2 linked regions of the Tamandua tetradactyla genome follow. The protein of the gene in region 2 binds, or shares a complex with, the protein of the main gene of each other region. Links are inferred from orthologs where the notes say so. Each region holds a gene or a part of one and is shown on either strand. Other genes may lie near its edges.

What was found.
Region 1: the proteins of ATP8B1 (region 2) and TMEM30B are in contact, whole or in part, in a cryo-EM structure (PDB 7VGH), measured with the Homo sapiens proteins. The link is inferred for Tamandua tetradactyla from reciprocal best matches to the Homo sapiens genes ATP8B1 and TMEM30B. Residues at the interface, in NP_001361314.1 of Homo sapiens: Trp362, Val366, Ser369, Ser370, Trp371, Tyr372, Leu373, Tyr374, Asp375, Gly376, Phe418, Trp421, Asp422, Leu423, Tyr426, Asp431, Pro433, His939, Trp942, Arg946, Tyr968, Phe971, Asn972, Gly973, Ser975, Ala976, Gln977, Leu1003, Gln1005, Phe1049; in NP_001017970.1 of Homo sapiens: Gly9, Ala10, His11, Gln12, Pro13, Asn15, Phe18, Thr19, Gln20, Gln21, Arg22, Leu23, Pro24, Ala25, Trp26, Gln27, Pro28, Leu30, Ser31, Ala32, Ala35, Leu38, Phe39, Phe46, Leu49, Leu53, Tyr109, Tyr111, Asn116, Phe117.

The regions. Positions count from the first base shown.
Region 1 is NC_135338.1:3,545,248-3,553,907, forward strand, and holds TMEM30B (cell cycle control protein 50B), read left to right. Parts: upstream 1-5,079; 5' UTR 5,080-5,315; coding exon 5,316-6,371; 3' UTR 6,372-8,142; downstream 8,143-8,660. UniProt on the Homo sapiens protein: Accessory component of a P4-ATPase flippase complex which catalyzes the hydrolysis of ATP coupled to the transport of aminophospholipids from the outer to the inner leaflet of various membranes and ensures the maintenance of asymmetric distribution of phospholipids.
Region 2 is NC_135344.1:24,480,467-24,489,476, reverse strand, and holds the start of ATP8B1 (phospholipid-transporting ATPase IC), read right to left. Parts: upstream 3,474-9,010; 5' UTR 3,398-3,473; intron 1-3,397. UniProt on the Homo sapiens protein: Catalytic component of a P4-ATPase flippase complex which catalyzes the hydrolysis of ATP coupled to the transport of phospholipids, in particular phosphatidylcholines (PC), from the outer to the inner leaflet of the plasma membrane.

The sequences.
Region 1 (8,660 bases), on a different chromosome or scaffold from region 2:
CGCTCCACGAAAACAACCTAATTGAAAGGTCCTACCCTCAAGAATAGGTCTGCCTCCTCAAGACTGGATTAGGAAAAAGAACATGGCTTTTCTGGGGTACAGAATAGCCTCAAACCAGCACATGATGCGACACAGACGTCCCAGGAACCAGCAGCCTGCCTGCAGAGTCCAAGTACCTTCCTGTGGATGTCTTAATCGGGACATTTTCATGGCCTAAGAACTGTACATTGTAAATTAATAAATTCCCATTGAAAAAGCCAATCTATTTCTGGTAGATTGCATTCTAGCAGCTTTAGCAAATGGAAAAAGGAAAGGAAAGGCATGGGCTCTGGGAAAGAGACTGGGCCTCAGCCATGCATGGGAGGGGAAAAGGAGAGACAGCATTTACTTTATTCATTTTCGAACTCTGATAATTATCTGCAATTTTTTGAAACATGTGATTACTCACTCCTGATACATACGTAAGGAATTCCTGAACTTCTAAACGGATTTTGTCACCGTGTGAAAGTCAGCACATGTGTCACAGCCCTCAGTGAGGCCCTTCCCAAACCAGGGAGCTTCATTCCAACCTGGGCAGAGAGCAGAGGAGGATGGTGCCCAGTCTCAGACAGACTGGCTGGTCACACAGACACTGCTTTGCTTTGCTCTATTCACCTTGGGTACGTGGCCCTCTCTCCTTTCACCCTGGGTAGTCTAGTCCGTTTTGATTCAACCCTCTTTCTTATTTGCAGTTACAGAGATCTTCCTTCCCCGCTATCTCAATTCTGTCACCCAGTTGGCCCACCCCTCTCCATATTTCGGGTCTCTCTCCTTCCAGCTCACTAAGCACAAGCCCTACAACTGTGAGCACTCAGCTGGAGTTCAGTCCCATTCTTGCCGGGTTTTCCCTAAACCTGGGAGACCCCTAACCCAACTTCTATACCATTTAAGACCCATTGTCACCTATGAGAATCCATTTTCCATTTTACACTGCCCCCCCGCAGCCCCACCCACCTAATTCTGCTCATAGTTCACTCTCTCTTTGACCTCCAGTGTTTTTCAGGAAGTTAGTGACAAAGAACCAACAAACTGCAGCCAAGAGCCAAGGGAATTCATGTCTGCCTTTTGTACCTTCCATGCTTACAGTGCTAGTTAACTGAAATTTCTATCTTCCACTAGGGGGTACCACCCCATAATTTTTGAAACAGGAAATCTGCTGAATACAGCTCTTAATGAAAAATGAAGCCCAGGCCCAGTGAATTTTTTTTAACTTTTCTGAACACATGCTGTAATTTTATGAAGCAATTTAATTTGATTCTTTTTAAATAAAAGCTGCCCCACGGGCAGAGTAATAGGCACAAATCTTGAGCAGTATAAACTTATATAACGGAACACCAATTAAAAATCCAGGCTCTATTACAGTAAGATAAACAGTCATGAATTAAATGAAATAAATGCAAAAACTCAGTACAGCCAGGCAAGTGAAGTTATTTTTGCTTTAGCAAGAGAAATAATCATACTAAACAAAAGTTGGCTTCAAAACAAAAGCTTTTATAAAACACAAATAAAGGCAGTCAGATGTTCTAGGGCCCTGTATTTAAATAGGACAGAATTCTCTTAACCTTGGAGTATAACCGAAGACTTGCAACACTAAAAACTGGCTCAAGTTTAAGGTCTTTTAGGTTTTTAAGAGAAAGGTGCCAAGTCATTATAGCATAGTGGCTGAAAATGCACAATGCTGGAATTCTTTAAATGCCACATCTTCCACTTATTAGCTTTGAGAACTTGGACGGCCTCCACTTCCTCCGCCTAAGCCATGGTTTCTGCATCGGTTTTAATGGGCCTGATTGTACCTGAGCTTCTTGTGTGAATTAGATGAGATAATGCATATAAAGTGTTTACAGAGTGACTGGCCACAGCAGGCAATAAATGCTAGCTATTATTGTTACTGAATGAATTTGTGTAAGAAAGGCCTCCTGAGATGACTAGACATGGAAATTTTTGCATCGAAAGAGACACGAAACATTTTGGACAATGCGCTTACACAGATAAGAAATCATGGACCAGAGAAGTTAAGCAATTTGACCACTGTTATTCCCTGACAAACCTTCGAGTTTAACTTGGGTTTCCTTAATAGCAGGCCAGCATTTCTTTTCCCCATTCTATAGTGCCTCCTTCTTCAACCTCGCCTACACTATTATCTTTTTCCCTCAGAATGAACACTTCTCGGCCATCTATAAAGAAGCCTTTCCTTTAGGATACATGCTCTTCTAGGTAATTATTACTTGCTTTTCTCCTATTCTTTCCACATATTTCTGAAAAGAGTTGTCCTCACTTTGGCTGCCTTCACCACCTTTTCCCCTCACTTACTACAATCTGATTCCGCTATCATCCAAATCTCTCTGACTCATGTCAAATCCAAGGGCCCTTGTGGTTTCTAATGTCACTTGAATCCTCAGCTGTGTTTAACTATGTTTACCATTCCCTACCTTGAAATACCCTCCTCTTCTGACTTTTGGGACTCTTTGGTGTTAGCTTAACTAGCAGAATGAATAAACTGATGCCTTGAGGTCATCCAGGGAGAAGAAAGGTGAAAGGCTCTGATCTCAACAGAAGGGCACATACTGTTAGGGGGTGGTGAGAACGGCTACTGTGGGACTTGAGAGCCACTAGAATTTTAAAGTCAAATTCCTCATAGGAGACCAGTTTTATGGTCAAGCAGACTGATAATCCACCAACGTAGAGGTAGGTAGAATTCAACCATATGATACAGAGAATCGTTTATTCATTTAGATAGAAATTTGTTGACAATGTTGGACCATCCTCTTTTGGGGTACAAGAAGGATATGAAATTCGAGTTGTTGGAATCTCCCTCAGTATTTTTTGACCGCTAAAGCTTCTGACCTACATTCATTCCACTCAGCAAAATGGATTTTCCATTATTAAAATATTAATGACTCTTTTTAGTTTTCGTATCACTCTTGTGAAGCAATACTTCTTCTTCTTCTTTTTTTTTTTTTTATGCATACGAATAACCTCCAGGATAACCTCTCGACTCTGGAATCTCTCAGCGATTGACACTTTGTCTCATTTCCCTCTTTCCCCTTTTGGTCGAGAAGGTTTTCTCAATCCCTTGATGCTAAGTCTCAGCTCATTCTAGGGTTTTTCTCAATCCCTTGATGCTGAGTCTCAGCTCATTCCAAGATCTCTGTCCCACGTTGCCAGGAAGGTCCACACTCCTGGGAGTCATGTCCCATGTAGAGATGGGTAGAGTGGTGAGACTGCTCGTTGTGTTGGCTGGAGAGAGAGGCCACATCTGAGCAACAAAAGAGGCTCTCTTGGGGGTGACTCTTAGGCCTAAATTTTAAGTGGACTTGACCTATCCTTTGTGAGGTTAAGTTTCATATGAACAAACCCCAAGTCTGGGGGCTCAGCCTATAGCTTTGGTTGTCCACACTGCTTGTGAGAATATCAAGAATTCAACTTGGGGAAGTTGAATTTCTCCCCGTTCTCACCATTCCCCGAAGGGGGGCTTTGCAAATACTTTTCCACTCACTGATCAAATCACTCTGGGATTCATCGGGGGATCACTCTGGACAAACCAGCAAAATCTCATGTCCTACCTGAGATTCCAAGAACTTACGGCGTTCAAACTATCTACATAAGTCATATTAGGAAATGCTCTAGTCAAAATATAAATTTTGTAACAAATAAACATTTTTTGCTTTAGTCTCACACATAAGGTGACATTTTAACATACTAATTACCATCTATTTTCAGCACCCTGTAATAATGACATTCCTTTGTTCTTCCTCATGCAAAAACACTTTTAAAATTGTACATTGTGAAGCAATACTTGATACTTGGTTATTTGCTGCCTATTGGCAACTCTGACTATTTCTTACTCCTGAGTAATGTGTCCACTATAAGACTGCCTTGGAGTGGATGATCCTCTTTAGAACAGTTTTTTCTTCTCTTCTACATTGCTTATCATAGGACTAAGCACTTGGAAGATACTGAAAAAAACTCCTGTTTAACTTACAAGCATCTTAACTTTTCAAATCTCTATGGGTTTTGAATGACTTCCGAATGCAATCTATTATTCAAGGTTCAGAAAATATTTTAATCATTTGCATTCAATGAGATGGAGGAGAGGCAGGAACGCCTCAATACCTAGGGAAGATTCAGCACAAAGCTGAAATGACTTGATAGCCCTTGTGTGTTGTGCCAGCCTAGATCGAAAGGCTGAAATCCCAGGCAATCTTCAGAGCTAATCTGGGTTCTCTTGACCATAAGTGGTATAAATCCTTAAGAGTTCATTTCTTAGACCAAACACTCCAAACAGGTTTGTCTCCTGGGACCTTGGATCAGGCCTTTCTCCACGCGTGTAAACAATCTGAAAAGAAAAGGAAATCACATGTAGTCCTGGGCATTTACCTTCTCGTGTGGCTTCTCCACTAGCTAGAGAGAGAGATACTTGAAGGCTTTGGACCTCTTTCGTCTGACTCTCCTTATTTAAAGATCATTTTTAGAGAACGTTCCATCTATTTTAGTTAGCCAAAGGGAGGCATCAGGCCTGACAACAACTTTCCCTTAAAAAAAAAAAAAAAGCTAAAATTTGAATACAGACACTGAATTCGAACCAGCATTACCACCATGTAATTCCCTGGGCATTAAAGATTTTGTGGCTGGACACGTCCATACAATGACGAGAGGGTCTCGAGTCACCACGCCCCCTCCCCGACCCCGACACAAGAAAAGAGTTCTAGTGTGAAACCTTCAAGCCTTCGGGACCCCCGGTGTCCCCTTACAGCCACTTTCTGCGGGAGACTGCCGCTCTATGATTTCGGGAAGGACAGGCACAGGCCCTCCAGCCACTTGGAAGGCGAAGGGTAACGGAGCACCTGGGCAAGGTACGGCCCACTCGGGGACAGCCTGGGGCCGCCGTTGAACCTCGGGGAGCAGGAGCCGGCGTCCACTCGGACCAGAAGGGAGAGGCAATACGATCCTGGGCCGGCCAGGTGAGGAAAGGAACACCCGCCCGCCTCACCTCGGAAGGGGCGGAGCGCGGCGCGGCTCCCAGAGCCGGCGGGGGGTGGAGCCGGCGGGGATCACCTGGGCCAGGGCGGAACTGAGGGGCTCCGGTTACTGCCCGCGGAGCCCGGCCTCAGGACTCACCTGCGCGGGGGGCGGGGGCGGGGCCGGAGCCAGGACTCACCTGAGCCGACCCGAAACCCGAGCCGGGAGCAGCCCCCCCGCCCCCGGGTCCCCGGGCGCCGACCGGGAGGTGCCCCGCGGCGGCGGCCACCCCCGTGACCCTCCGTGGTCCCGCCGCCATGACCTGGAGCGCCACCGCCCGCGGCGCCCACCAGCCGGACAACACGGCGTTCACGCAGCAGCGGCTCCCCGCCTGGCAGCCGCTGCTGTCGGCCGGCATCGCGCTGCCCCTCTTCTTCTGCGCCGGCCTGGCCTGCATCGGGCTGGGGCTGGGCCTCTACTACACCTCCCACGGCCTCAAGGAGCTCGAGCACGACTACACCGGCGGCCCGGGCTCCGGCAACTGCTCGGCGTGCGCCGAGGCCGCCCAGGGCCGGGCGCCGCCGCCCCGCTGCTCGTGCGCCTGGCACTTCGCGCTGCCCGAGCGCTTCCGGGGCCCCGTGTTCCTCTACTACGCGCTCGCCCACTTCTACCAGAACAACCGGCGCTACGGCGTGTCCCGCGACGACGCGCAGCTGAGCGGGCTGCCGAGCGCGCTGCGCCACCCGGCCAACGAGTGCTCCCCGTACCAGCGCTCGGCCGCCGGCCTGCCCGTCGCGCCCTGCGGCGCCATCGCCAACAGCCTCTTCAACGACTCCTTCTCGCTGTGGCACCAGCGGCGGCCCGGCGGCCCTTACGTCGAGGTGCCGCTCGACCGCACGGGCATCGCCTGGTGGTCCGACTACCACGTCAAGTTCCGCAACCCGCCGCCCGTGAACGGCAGCCTGGCGCTGGCCTTCCGGGGCACCGCGCCGCCGCCCAACTGGCCGCGGCCCGTCTACGAGCTCAGCGCCGACCCCAACGACACCGGCTTCGTCAACCAGGACCTGGTGGTGTGGATGCGCACGGCCGCGCTGCCCACCTTCCGCAAGCTGTACGCGCGCGTGCGCCGCGGCGACTACGCGGCCGGCCTGCCCCGCGGCGCCTACCGCCTGGACATCGCCTACAACTTCCCGGTGCGCGCCTTCGGCGGCCGCAAGCTCGTCATCCTCAGCAGCGTCTCGTGGATGGGCGGCAAGAACCCGTTCCTGGGCATCGCCTACCTGGCCGTCGGCTCCCTCTGCGTGCTCACGGGCTTCGTCATGCTGCTGGTGTACATTCGGCACCAGGAGCCCGACGGCCGGGACCAAGACTGACCCCCGGACGCCGGGGGCCGCGCCTGCCCTGCGCCCAAGCCCTCGCGGCCAGCGCCTTGGGGCCGCGTCGCCCCCCTCCGTCCCCCGGTCCCAGCCGCGCCCCGCTTGTCCTCTGGTGGGTGAGGCAGGGAGAGGCACCCCACCGAGCCGGAGGGCCCCAGACCCTCTGGCTGGGTGGTTTGCACCCCAGAGTGGCACCTCCTTTGAAATCCCCCCCAGCTCCTTCATGGCCCAAGAGTTGATAAGAGTTCTTTGTCTGCCACATTTGAGGGCAGAAGGGACAGGAGAGGTTCAGCCCACCCTTCATCAGATGTAGAAAGGGAGAAGTTAAAAGGTTAAATAACCCATTCGACGGCAAGTGGTGTTGGCTTCAGGGCGGGCCACGGTGGCTCAGCGGGCAGAGCTCTCGTCTGCCATGCTGGAGTCCGGGGCTCGAATCCTGCTGCCCGCCCATACCAAAACAGAAGAGAAAAATGGTATTGGCCGCAGACCCTGAGCCTAGAACGGTTGCCACACAGTTGAGATGTAGTTTGTAAGGTCCTATCCCAGTGACTGCCACACACAGCTTAAGGGTGGTCCCCTGAAGCTGCATTTTCACACATTCCTCTGGAGGTGCCTGTTTCCTCGAGCTTGGAACTCGCCGCCCTGAACCAGGGAGGAAGTAGAGGACTTAGACTTACCGAACAGCCTGAAGCTGTTAAAGGAGTCATCTGAGTTTTCCAGGCAGTAGTTCCCAAGGGCTGCAGCAACCACAATTTGGCAGGTTTGGTTTAGTACACTCTCTTGCACAGAGGGAGCCTCAATGATTTGTGGAGTGAATGAAAAAATATTGCTATCACTCGTAAATGACTTGGCATACAGATTTGCAGGACAATGCTGATGTTAATTTCACTTATTATTTGAGTGTTAAAAAAAGAAAAAGAATAAAACACTTTACCAGGTTGTGTGTAGAGACTTGAAAATTCATGATCAGTTTGTACAAGTTAGGGGGAATATTTAGCCCTAGAATATGACTTCCCTACAGTCGTATCTGTGACTCCTGGCTGGGTCCTCTTTATCATCTCATTTGTTAAATACTTGGCGAGAAGAGCCTCCAATCATACCTTTTCCTTGGATCTGAGAAAAAGCTTCCTTTTAATGTGTTCTCAAAGGAATCATGTTTCCAGTAATCATGTTTGAATGAATGCTAAAGAATATGGTTTTATGTATAAACTGGAGTCTTAAGAATTATTTGGGACTTTGAGATCATTTTAAGTCTGATTACTGTATATGGATAAAGTTATTCTTAAGAGCAACTGAGTACTTTTTTAAAGCCTTCCTTGGATAACAAAATAACTCCAAAAGAACTAAAAGCAAAAGACCCTAATGATATCATCTTAACCAATCTCTTTCTTGAAAGCAGACAGCACTTAGTATTTTCTCAGACAGAATACTCTCTGTTAAAGCTATTTTTCAATTCCTGATGGTTTCGCTCAGACCTTGAAGGCAGTGCAAGATCTTGAACTATTTTTAGTGTCAAGGAAATATTGAATTGTATTGAAAAGTTTTCATTGATTTTATTTTACTTATTATAGTTCTTTGAAATTTAATAATTAATCTATGCACAGCATGTTTACTGACATCTGACTCGAATCTTCTGCGACAGTTGTAACTTAAGAAATTCTGTCCCCTTTTATATACAAATTCTTCCAAATTTTATAGTTACAATGGGTTGGTCTCCCAACTTTTAAACATGACACAGTTGTACTGGTAGGTGTGGATTATGATTTTAAACTATCGCCATTATATGTACATAGAGTAATTTTTATTTATTATGGATATTTGATTGAGCAGCCTAGCTCAGCCTTCCTCTATACTGGATAAGAGAATTTACTACATTTTTTTTTGTACTGTGTACTTTAACGATGATTTCTAGAATATTCACTTCATTGCTATAAACTTTTAAATAAGATCATGAAATCTAAGGCATCTGATTCAATTATTGAAAATGGTTCCAGCTCCCTTTCTCTTGGGTGTTGAAAGAGAATAAAGGTTCTGTTTGTCTTAGTCTTGCTGTTGTGTTTGCTTAATTCTTTTGAACTATGATCTTAAAGGCACATGCAGTATCAACCACTTTGCTCATTTGTTCTTAGCAGATTAATATTGCATCAGGAAAATCATCTTTCAGGAGAAGGCTTCCTTAAAGTGAACTCAATTTGTCATTATTATCTTTGTGGAACAGAATTTGAACTTCTGTCAGCAACATGTTATATGAATTAGATGGTTCTCAATGTTTGAATTTGGTAAAAT
Region 2 (9,010 bases):
AGCACTTTACATAAATTATCTCCTTTGGCCCTCATCACACAACTTTATGAGGCGGTACTACTATTATTCCATTTTACAGACAAAGAGACTGAAGCTTAGGAGAGAGCAAGTCACTTGCCCTAGGTTACACAACGAGGAGGCAGAGAAGCCCAGGCTCCAACCTGGGTCAGAAGACTCCAAAGTGAGTGCTCCCAACCTCGACTTGGCCGCAGCCTCTGGGCTCAGTGCTCACTGGTACCAGTTGTCAAGCAGAGTTGTGGATGGTTTGGGCAACAATTTATTAGACGATGCAATGCTAAAGGTATCAGTAAAAGCACTAACACATCCTAAATGGTCAGATGATAAAAAGTCCTTTGTTTTCCAGGAATAAGCATGAGAAACAAGGCTGGGTTTTTTTGTCTATTTAATTAGACTTCCAGATCTTCCTCCCAAATCCCAGCTCTTCAAAAGGTTCCAGAATGGGTATTGCTTTTAGCTGGGCACAGGGATGGGGATTCATTTAAGAGAATGAAGAAAGAGAAGGTCTTTTCTTCTTTTTTTAAAACTCATTTGACAGCAAATGAGTTTTTTCCTTATCTTAAAAAGTAACAAAAGTCCTAGAGGCATGAACACAATTAATCGAATTGAACGATGCCCACAAATGGACCCAAAAAGTCACAGAATACCTAAAGATACCACAAAGAAAAGCTGCCCAAGATTAATCTAGAAGCAAATCCTAAAATAGAATGCTTTAAAAACTTTGGTCACCTCTCTTTAGAGATATGAGGTATGGATGGACCCCATAAAACTTGTTCTGGTACCTAAAAAAGCAAGTTCCTCTGCATTCATAACAGCATTTCTCTTTTATAAGAAACATGATTGAAACTAAAGACCAAAGATAGCTAGATAAAAATCTCTCTAGAATGAATTGTATTCCATGAATGTAGCTTATGAACAACTAAAATGGAATTAAATTGGTAAGGCAACAAAATATTAAAACTTTACACCAAATACTTGGGCATCCTCATTTCTTAAAAAAAAAAAAGTTTAACAAGGAAAAAACACCTACTATGTACAAAGAACTTTCATATATTCTCTTATTTAATTCTCTCAACAACCCAAGTCATCTTTTTTTTTTCAACAGATGGACAAACTGAGGTGTAAAAAATATAACAACTCATCTAAGATACAATTACTAAGGTAAAGAACTAAAATCAATGGGCTCCTCAAGCTGCCAGGCACCTAAAATAACTCAGTTGGCAGAGTTTTAGCCCCAAGGTCCAAAGGTTCCTGATTCTACCATGGCTTTCCACAGGTTTCTGTCACCATAAAGTATTACTACTACTTTCGGCTTTGAAAGAGAGAATAAGGAATAAGCTACAGGTGGAGCTGGTCTAGGTTCTAATGCTAAGGTCCCAGACACCAAAATCCCTCCCTGGTCCTGGAAAGGGTCTTGAACTTGCCTTACACCATAAGGCCTACCTTTGTTAAGCCATTTGCTTTATCTAGTCGCTATTTCAGAGTCAACATTAAAAACAAACAACCAACCTTATAGTTCTACCACTAACATGTATTAATAAAAAGTGCACACAGGTATACTTTATTTTTCTTAAAACAAAATCCACAAGGAAAGCTGGAAAGTGGCTGGCGCTGCCCTGGCCGGCACCACGTCACCAGCAGGCAGCTGCAGGCAGAACTCTTGGCACCCGACTATGTACACAAAGAATCGCTAAAAATGACCAGGCTGAGTGTTTACTCGAACGATTTAAAAACAAAGCACAAGCACTAGAAAATGGCAAATGAAGAAAGTGGTTAAGATTTCTTACCTAAAATCAGAACAAGGAACTCTACACTATGTAACGAAAATCATTCAGAGAATTCGGAGGACGAACTGCAAGCAGGCATGATTTTTCCCTCTGAAATTAATCAGCTAATAACCATTATTCTTTTGCACAGTATATGCACCTATAAAAGTTTTAATAAAGACTTCAACAATAGGTCCAGAATTAATGAATGACATTTTAGGTGTTATACCAAACAACTCCTTAGAAGTGAAAATTACAACTTTACATCTTGTGTGGTTTCCCCATTTTATATGTGTTTGTACCTACTTATCGCTGAAGTCGCACACATCTTTTTGAATTTCTGTTCCTAAAAGCACTTAATCCTTGTCAATAACCTACCTGCCTGTACTGTCTCCTTTAATCCTAAAGGGTTGGGGGGCAGAACTTTGGCTGCAACACAACCAGGAAGATGGGAGCAAATCTTTTTCTCCAGCCAGCAGGGCGGGCAGCTTCCGGGAGGGGAACTCAGCGTCCAGAGCCCATTTGGGGCCAACCAGAGGCGGCACGGGCAAGCCATGGGGTCCGGGTGGTGTTGAGGGAACTTACTGGGCGAAAAGGAGGCCCAGATCCCCGGTCCTTGCCCATGCCCGCTCTCCCCCCATCCCCTGTTGTGCTTCCCTTCTGCATCTCTAATTCGCCCCTCTACAGCTGTCACCCGTCTGTGCTCCCGGCCAACCCCGGCGGGCACGCCTATACAGCCCCGCGGAGAAGTTGAGATTACACTACAAAGGCTTCTCTTTCACTTTGCGGGGTGGTGGTGGTAGAGAGGTGGGGAGTTAAAGCACTCGCCTTTCCATCAAACACCCCCCCCACCCCCACCCGGAACAAGAGGCCACTCGGCAAGCAAACAGCGAGGTGACAGCGCGGAGCATCAAACTGGGGAGGGAACCGAAATGGCCCGTGCCAGGGCCGTGGGAAGCTGGGCACACAACCCTACGATCACCGGAAAAACACTGTCCATTTTCCCCGTCACCCCCCCCCCCCCCGGATCCGCATACAAGGGCACGGGAAATGACTGGCGGATGCCCTGGCCCCGCAGCTGGCGCGGTGCAAGCGTCTCACCCCACCCCTCCCCGCAGCGCGGCCACCGTCAGGTGCATTCGATCCGCAGGTCGCTTTCTGACACGAGGGCATCGATCCCCAAAGGGAGCTCCCGGCAGAGCCCGGCCACGGGGTACTCCCAGAGGGGCATCGGCCACCGCGGGGCACTCCCCAAGGGGCCGCACGCCCTGCCTGGCCGGACCCTCGGAGCTTAGCCCTAGACGTGTGCGCAGCCCACCAGCGAAGGCAAACGCCTCCCGCGCGCTCGCCCACACCCGGGCCCCTCTCCTCCCGGCAGATGAAAACCCCCAAGAACCTGACCAAGCGCTGCCTCCCCGGCCAGTTCTGCCTCCCTCACCCCTGGCAGGCCGTGGGGGCTCCCAGAGCCCCGACGCAAATCCACCCGAGCCTGAGGACGCGGACAGCTGCTGCCACCGCATCCTGGATCCCCGGAGCTCGCCGGCCCGCGGGCGGCCGGGAGACCTGTGGAAGCCCGCGGGGCCGGGGGCTCGGGTGTCGCGCCCCTCTCTTACCTGGCGCTCGCTGGGCCCCGGCTGGGGCATCCGCCGGGTGCGCGCCGTCCGAGCGCTCGCTGCGCACCTGGCCGCCGCTGCCCGCCCCAGCCCCGGCCGCCGCGCTAGCGCTTCATGGCGCACGGGGGCTGGCCCGGGGCCCCGGGAAGCGTGTCCGGTTGACCGCGGCTAAGGCAGCTCCTCCGGCTCTGCCGCCAGTGGCTCCCCGCCTTCCTCCGCCCCGGGTCCGCGCGCCCTTCCTCAGCGGCCGCCCTTTTCTCTGGGCTTCCCAGGACCGGCCAAACTGGTTTCACCGCTCCGAAGTGGTGCCTCCCGTTTTCCTCCCGCGGCCGCGGCCGCTGCGCGCGGCTGGGGCTGGGGCTGGGGCTGGGGCTGAGGGCGGGCCCGGCCGTCTGCCCTCCCTCGGTCCCTCCTGGGGGCGGAGAGGGGCAGGGCCGGGAGTCCCGGGGCGGGCAGGCGCGCCCAGCTCCAACCCCGCGCTTTCGGCGCTCCCGGGCAGCAGGTGGGCACCCTCGGCGTTCCCCGAGGGTGTCACCTGATTTGCAGGCCCGGCGCCCGACAGCTTCGGCGGCTCTCGGCTCCCTGGCCCTCCCCGCCTCCCCCCGGGGCCGCGCTCGCCTCTCTGCTCCACCCGCCCCGCGTCACTTTCCCGCCGCCCTCGGCCGGACTGGCTGCCTCGAGGGGTCGGTGACCCCGCCGGCCCGGAAAGCTGACGGCCCGCGCCCGCGGGGGACCTCAGCTCCCTCTGTAAGAGGAGCTGTGCTCTCTCAGTGCCAAGTCACGTGTCGGACCGGTCACCGAGCGCGCGTGGCGGTTCGCGGCGTGGAGGACCGGGGCAGAGACAGTACCAAAAGATGTCGAGAAAACTTATCCTGTAATTGCAGCAAGCTGGCATTCTGCTCACGTTTATGGGTTTGGGTTCAAAAGGAACTAAGGTGCAGCATGTGAACCGCTCAGTGTGCTGGAAATTTTGTACTCGGTGCATAGTAGCTGGCTGGAATTAGGGAGTGTGAACCGCGCCTCCCTGGCAGTATGTACATTGCCATGCCTTACACCTATAACTTTTCATGCAGTGGACTTTTGTTGCTCCTATTGTGGACAAGTCAAGGGATATGGATGGAGAGAAGTCAAAGAGAGATCAAACCGTTTCTTCAAAATGTAGCCTGGGAGCTAGGATTGATATACAAATTCAGTGCGCTGAGAATTCGGATTCTCAGCTGGAGGATCATGAAGTCTGCATAGAGGAGGTGGTGCTTGAGGTGGGACTCAGGTCCACATTTGTAAGGTAGAGTTGTCTGGAGAAGGCATTAGAGTAGAGGCGCAGGTGGTCCACTGTTTTCACACATATGAAAGGATCCAGTTGACATTGTTAAACCCAAGACTGCCCCACATTTCTTTCTCATTGGTCAGACTTGATCTTTGTGTAATGCTGACCTGCCATTTCATCTGTCTGTGCCTCAGTTTCCTCATTTGGAAAATGAGTTTGAACAGCTGATCTTAAATCGTTCCTTCTAGCACTTATTTTTTGAACCCAACAACAGAGATAAGGTATAGAGGCAAGAAAATACAATGACAATGGGGAAGACCCATCTGCTAGCAGTGAGGAAAATGGGTCTGGAAGCCGTGGCATGCAAGGCTAAGGAGTTTGGACTTGTTTTTGGTAGCATGGGAGAACCACTGAAAGTCTGTGACTACAGGAGTGACATAACAAAAGTTGTATTTTTAGGAAAAATAATGGAAAAGGATAAGCTTGAAGATGGGGTGGAGGGGAAGCACCATTTAGGAGGCTAGTGCAGTAACATAAGGTGGGCCCAAAGGAAAGGAAAAGGAGGAGATTCAAGGAACAGCATGGAGGAGAAATGGCCAGGGTGCAAAGTGGCCAGAACCTGGCAACCAACTGGCAGAGCTGAGTATAGAGGAGGAACCAAGTTCTCCAAACTGGGCGATTGCATTAGTCTCGACAGCCAAGTGAGAAGAAGGGAGGCTGTTCTAAGAGGGCTCTGCCTCTACCAGGGCAAAGGGCAGCAAAACCTAGGAGTCAAGAGATGACTCTGGATGAAAGAAGGCATCCCCTCCTTCCTGCAGATCCATGATCAAGTGTTCAATCTGTCCAAGAAAATGTTGCATGGATAGAGACGACACCAGGACTTACCTAATCCATACCTACATCCAGATTTGGGAAGCACCATCCCTATGGCTGCACTTAACCTCCCTGTGTAGACACTAAGGATTCCAGCCTAGGTTTCTCTGATTATAGACCACATCTGGGGGTGGGGGGTGGGGGTGGAGAATAGGGGTGCAGTGTGTATTTTTTATAGTCATTCACTCAACAATTACTTATCCTGTGCCTACCAGGTGCCAGGCACCATCCTAGTTGCTTGGGATAAATCAGTGAACCAGTTAGGCAAACTGTACGTTAAAATGTGATAATTCTTTGGAAAGACTAGATTAGGTCTGACTGGGTGAGGGCCACTGAAGAAGCCTTCTGGGGTGCTGTAAAAATTCTATATGCATATGTAAGAGTTCATTGACTTTGTACATTTAATATCTGTACATTAAAAAATAAATAATAAAAATAGAACATGGTTATGAGATGGGAAGTAGGAGGATAAGTTGCAATTTTAAATAGTGTGGTCAGGGTAGGCTTCATGAAAAGCTGCATTAGAAAAAGGAGAGGGAGTTTCATCCTAGATGAGAAAAATCCTTTGGCTATTCATCTTGCCTGGAACCCACCAGACTGGGACATGTTCAGACCTTTTCCAGTGGGTCTCCTCCCCTAAGCTTTCTGCACCCTCCTGGGAAGCAGACTCTCGCAAGTCATCGAGTGTTGCTGATAGAGGACGTGGCTCACCTGGAAGGTGTCAGCGAGTCTTGACCCTTGTCTTCCCTGAAAGGACTGTGTCAAATTTCGGGGTGCCTTGTCAGGTCGGTCACTGAAAGTGTCTCATGCACGCAACAAGGATTTCGAAATATGTCTCACATGAGTCACTTGAAAGACGGTTTCTTTGTCTCAAAGCAGACCTGCTACCACCAGCTTGGGCGAGTCTTTCCCTGTGTTCCCAGATGGGATTGAATAAGCGTTCTGGTTTTATTTAGAACCACCTGCATCCAGTAACCAATACCTTTACCTTCAAAGCTGCTGGGAAAAAGTAATTAAATTTAAGCGAAAACAGCTGTTTCTAAAAGAGGGTAACTATTTTGCAGCTTTTGTAGTTCGTAATTTCCTGCACTGTTTTTTTTTTTTTTTTTTTTTTTCTGTTCTTGGCAATACTACTATGCATATTTATATAATGTGTGTAGAAGAGCCGGAGAGGTTGCCAAGAGAATTAGCTCAGTTTTACTGAAAATTCATTTCTGAGAATTTTTTTTTCCCTAAAAGATAAAAGAGCTAAGGGATAAAAGATGCTTAAAGGGAGCCTGTATTCAGTTCTTTGCTAAGCCCAATGATTATTTAACTAAAGGGTTTAATGTCCTTGGAAGGCGTGTAGGCGATGCTTGGTCCTTTTGTGACCATGTTTGGCAATATTTGGAAGGCAAATTCTTCACAGCAATTGTCTAGACCAATGGCTAGCATCAGAATCTTAAACATGATGAGAAAAGAGCTCTTATGTGAAGCTGTCTTTGCAATAAATGAAATTTAGGGGCTTCAAATGGCCTGACCTATTTTCTTGTTTTAAAACATTTTTTTTTATTGTGAAATATAACATATGTACGAAAATGTGTTAATTTCAGCATAGTTTAGTATAGTTTAGAAAGTAGTTATAGAGCAAATTTCAAAGTACAGTATGGGTTCTACAGGTTCAGTTACTTCCTTCTGGCTGGTCTAATATACTAGAAACTAAAAATAAATATCTATATAATGATTCAGTAGTCATAATCATTTGTTAAATCTTGACTTCTCTGTTACAACTCCTCCCTCTCATTTGATCATTCTCTCAGTGTTCAGGGATATTTGGACAATGACCATTCTCACTTCTTCATGTTAAAAAGGGGTATTGACATTATGGGATAAGAGAATGCAACTGGTTGATGTTCTTGGAGCTTTTGGGAACTCTAAGTTTTAGGGATTATCTGGCATAGGAACAATCTGCAGGTTTTAAGTTTCTGAAATATAAAACTTAATAAGTAAAACTTTTATAGTGTCTGAGATAGAGCCCTGGGTATTCTTTAGGGTTTAGAGGAACACTGTTGGCTGGGGCTTGACAAACCATGGCAATTTGTAATATCTGGGTGAAGCTTGTATAAGAGTAACCTCGAATGACCTCTTGACTCTATTTGAAATCCCTTAGCCACTGAGACCTTATTTTGGTACATTTCTTTTTCCCCTTTTGGTCCAGCAGGGATTCTCAATACCACAATGCCAGGGCCAGGCTCATCCCTGGGAGCCATGTCCCACATTGCCAGGGAGACTTACAACCCTGAACGTCATGTCATGCATAGCGGGGAAAGGTAATGAATTTACTTGCAAAGTTGGTTTTAGAGAGAGAGAGGCCACATCTGAGCAACAAAAGAGATTCTCTGGGTGTGACTCTTAGGTGTGTTTATAAGTAGGCTTAGCCTCACCATTACAGAAATAAGTTTTATAAGGACCAGCCACAAGATTGAGGGCTTGGCTTATTAAATTGGGAGTCCACAGTGCTTCAGAGAATATCAGGAATTTCCCAGGTGGGAAAGTTTAATAGTTTCATATTTTTTCTCCAACCCCTCAAGGGAATTTGCAAATACTTTTTTTTTTATCATCTGCCCCCAATATTTTGGAATATAACATGGTATTACATTAAGCTATACAGAATCATCAGCTCTTATTCTCTGTTCTAGGCTTCTTGTATTTAGGTTGTTTAAATAAACTGGCAAGACAGGTTAAGTTAGATAGTATGCTACAGAAAATCTAAATTTTGAACAAAATAAACATCTCTTCCTTTGGTCTCACACAGAAGTTGAAGTTTTAAAATACAGACAATATCATCCTTTACCCTGTATTCTGATTTACCGTAGACCTAACCAGATAAGCTTCATTCATATAAAGTCTGATCTCTTTTTCATCTTCTTTAACAGTTGTTGTATGGAGTAATGCTGATTTTCAGAGCTGTAGAACTTTGACTCTGAGTCTTAGGTGTCACACAGGTACCGGCTAATCCAGGGAACTACCAAGTTATACATAAAGAGCACCTCAGCATTTATAAATAACTCTTAAAACTCAAGAATAAATGTGACTCCTGTAAGAGCTTACAATCCAGGTCCTAATTTTCTTATAAACATTCTCTAAATGAGACTGTAAAATATTTGTCCTCTTGTTTATGGCTTATTTTGCACAACATAATGTCCTTAACGTTCATTCACCTTGTTGCATGCCTGTGACTTCATTCCTTTCTGCAGCTGCACAATATTCCATTGTATCTATACATCACAGCTCACCCTTCCCTCATCAGTCGGTGGGCCCTTGGGCTACCTCCATCCATTGGCTATTATGAATAATGCCTCCACAAACATCAGTGTGAAAATGTCTATTCATGTCCCTGCTTTCAGTTCTTCTGAGTATATTCCTAGTAACAGGATTGCCTAATCCTTTGACAGCCCTATATTTAGACTCTCTTGGATCTGCTACATTATCCT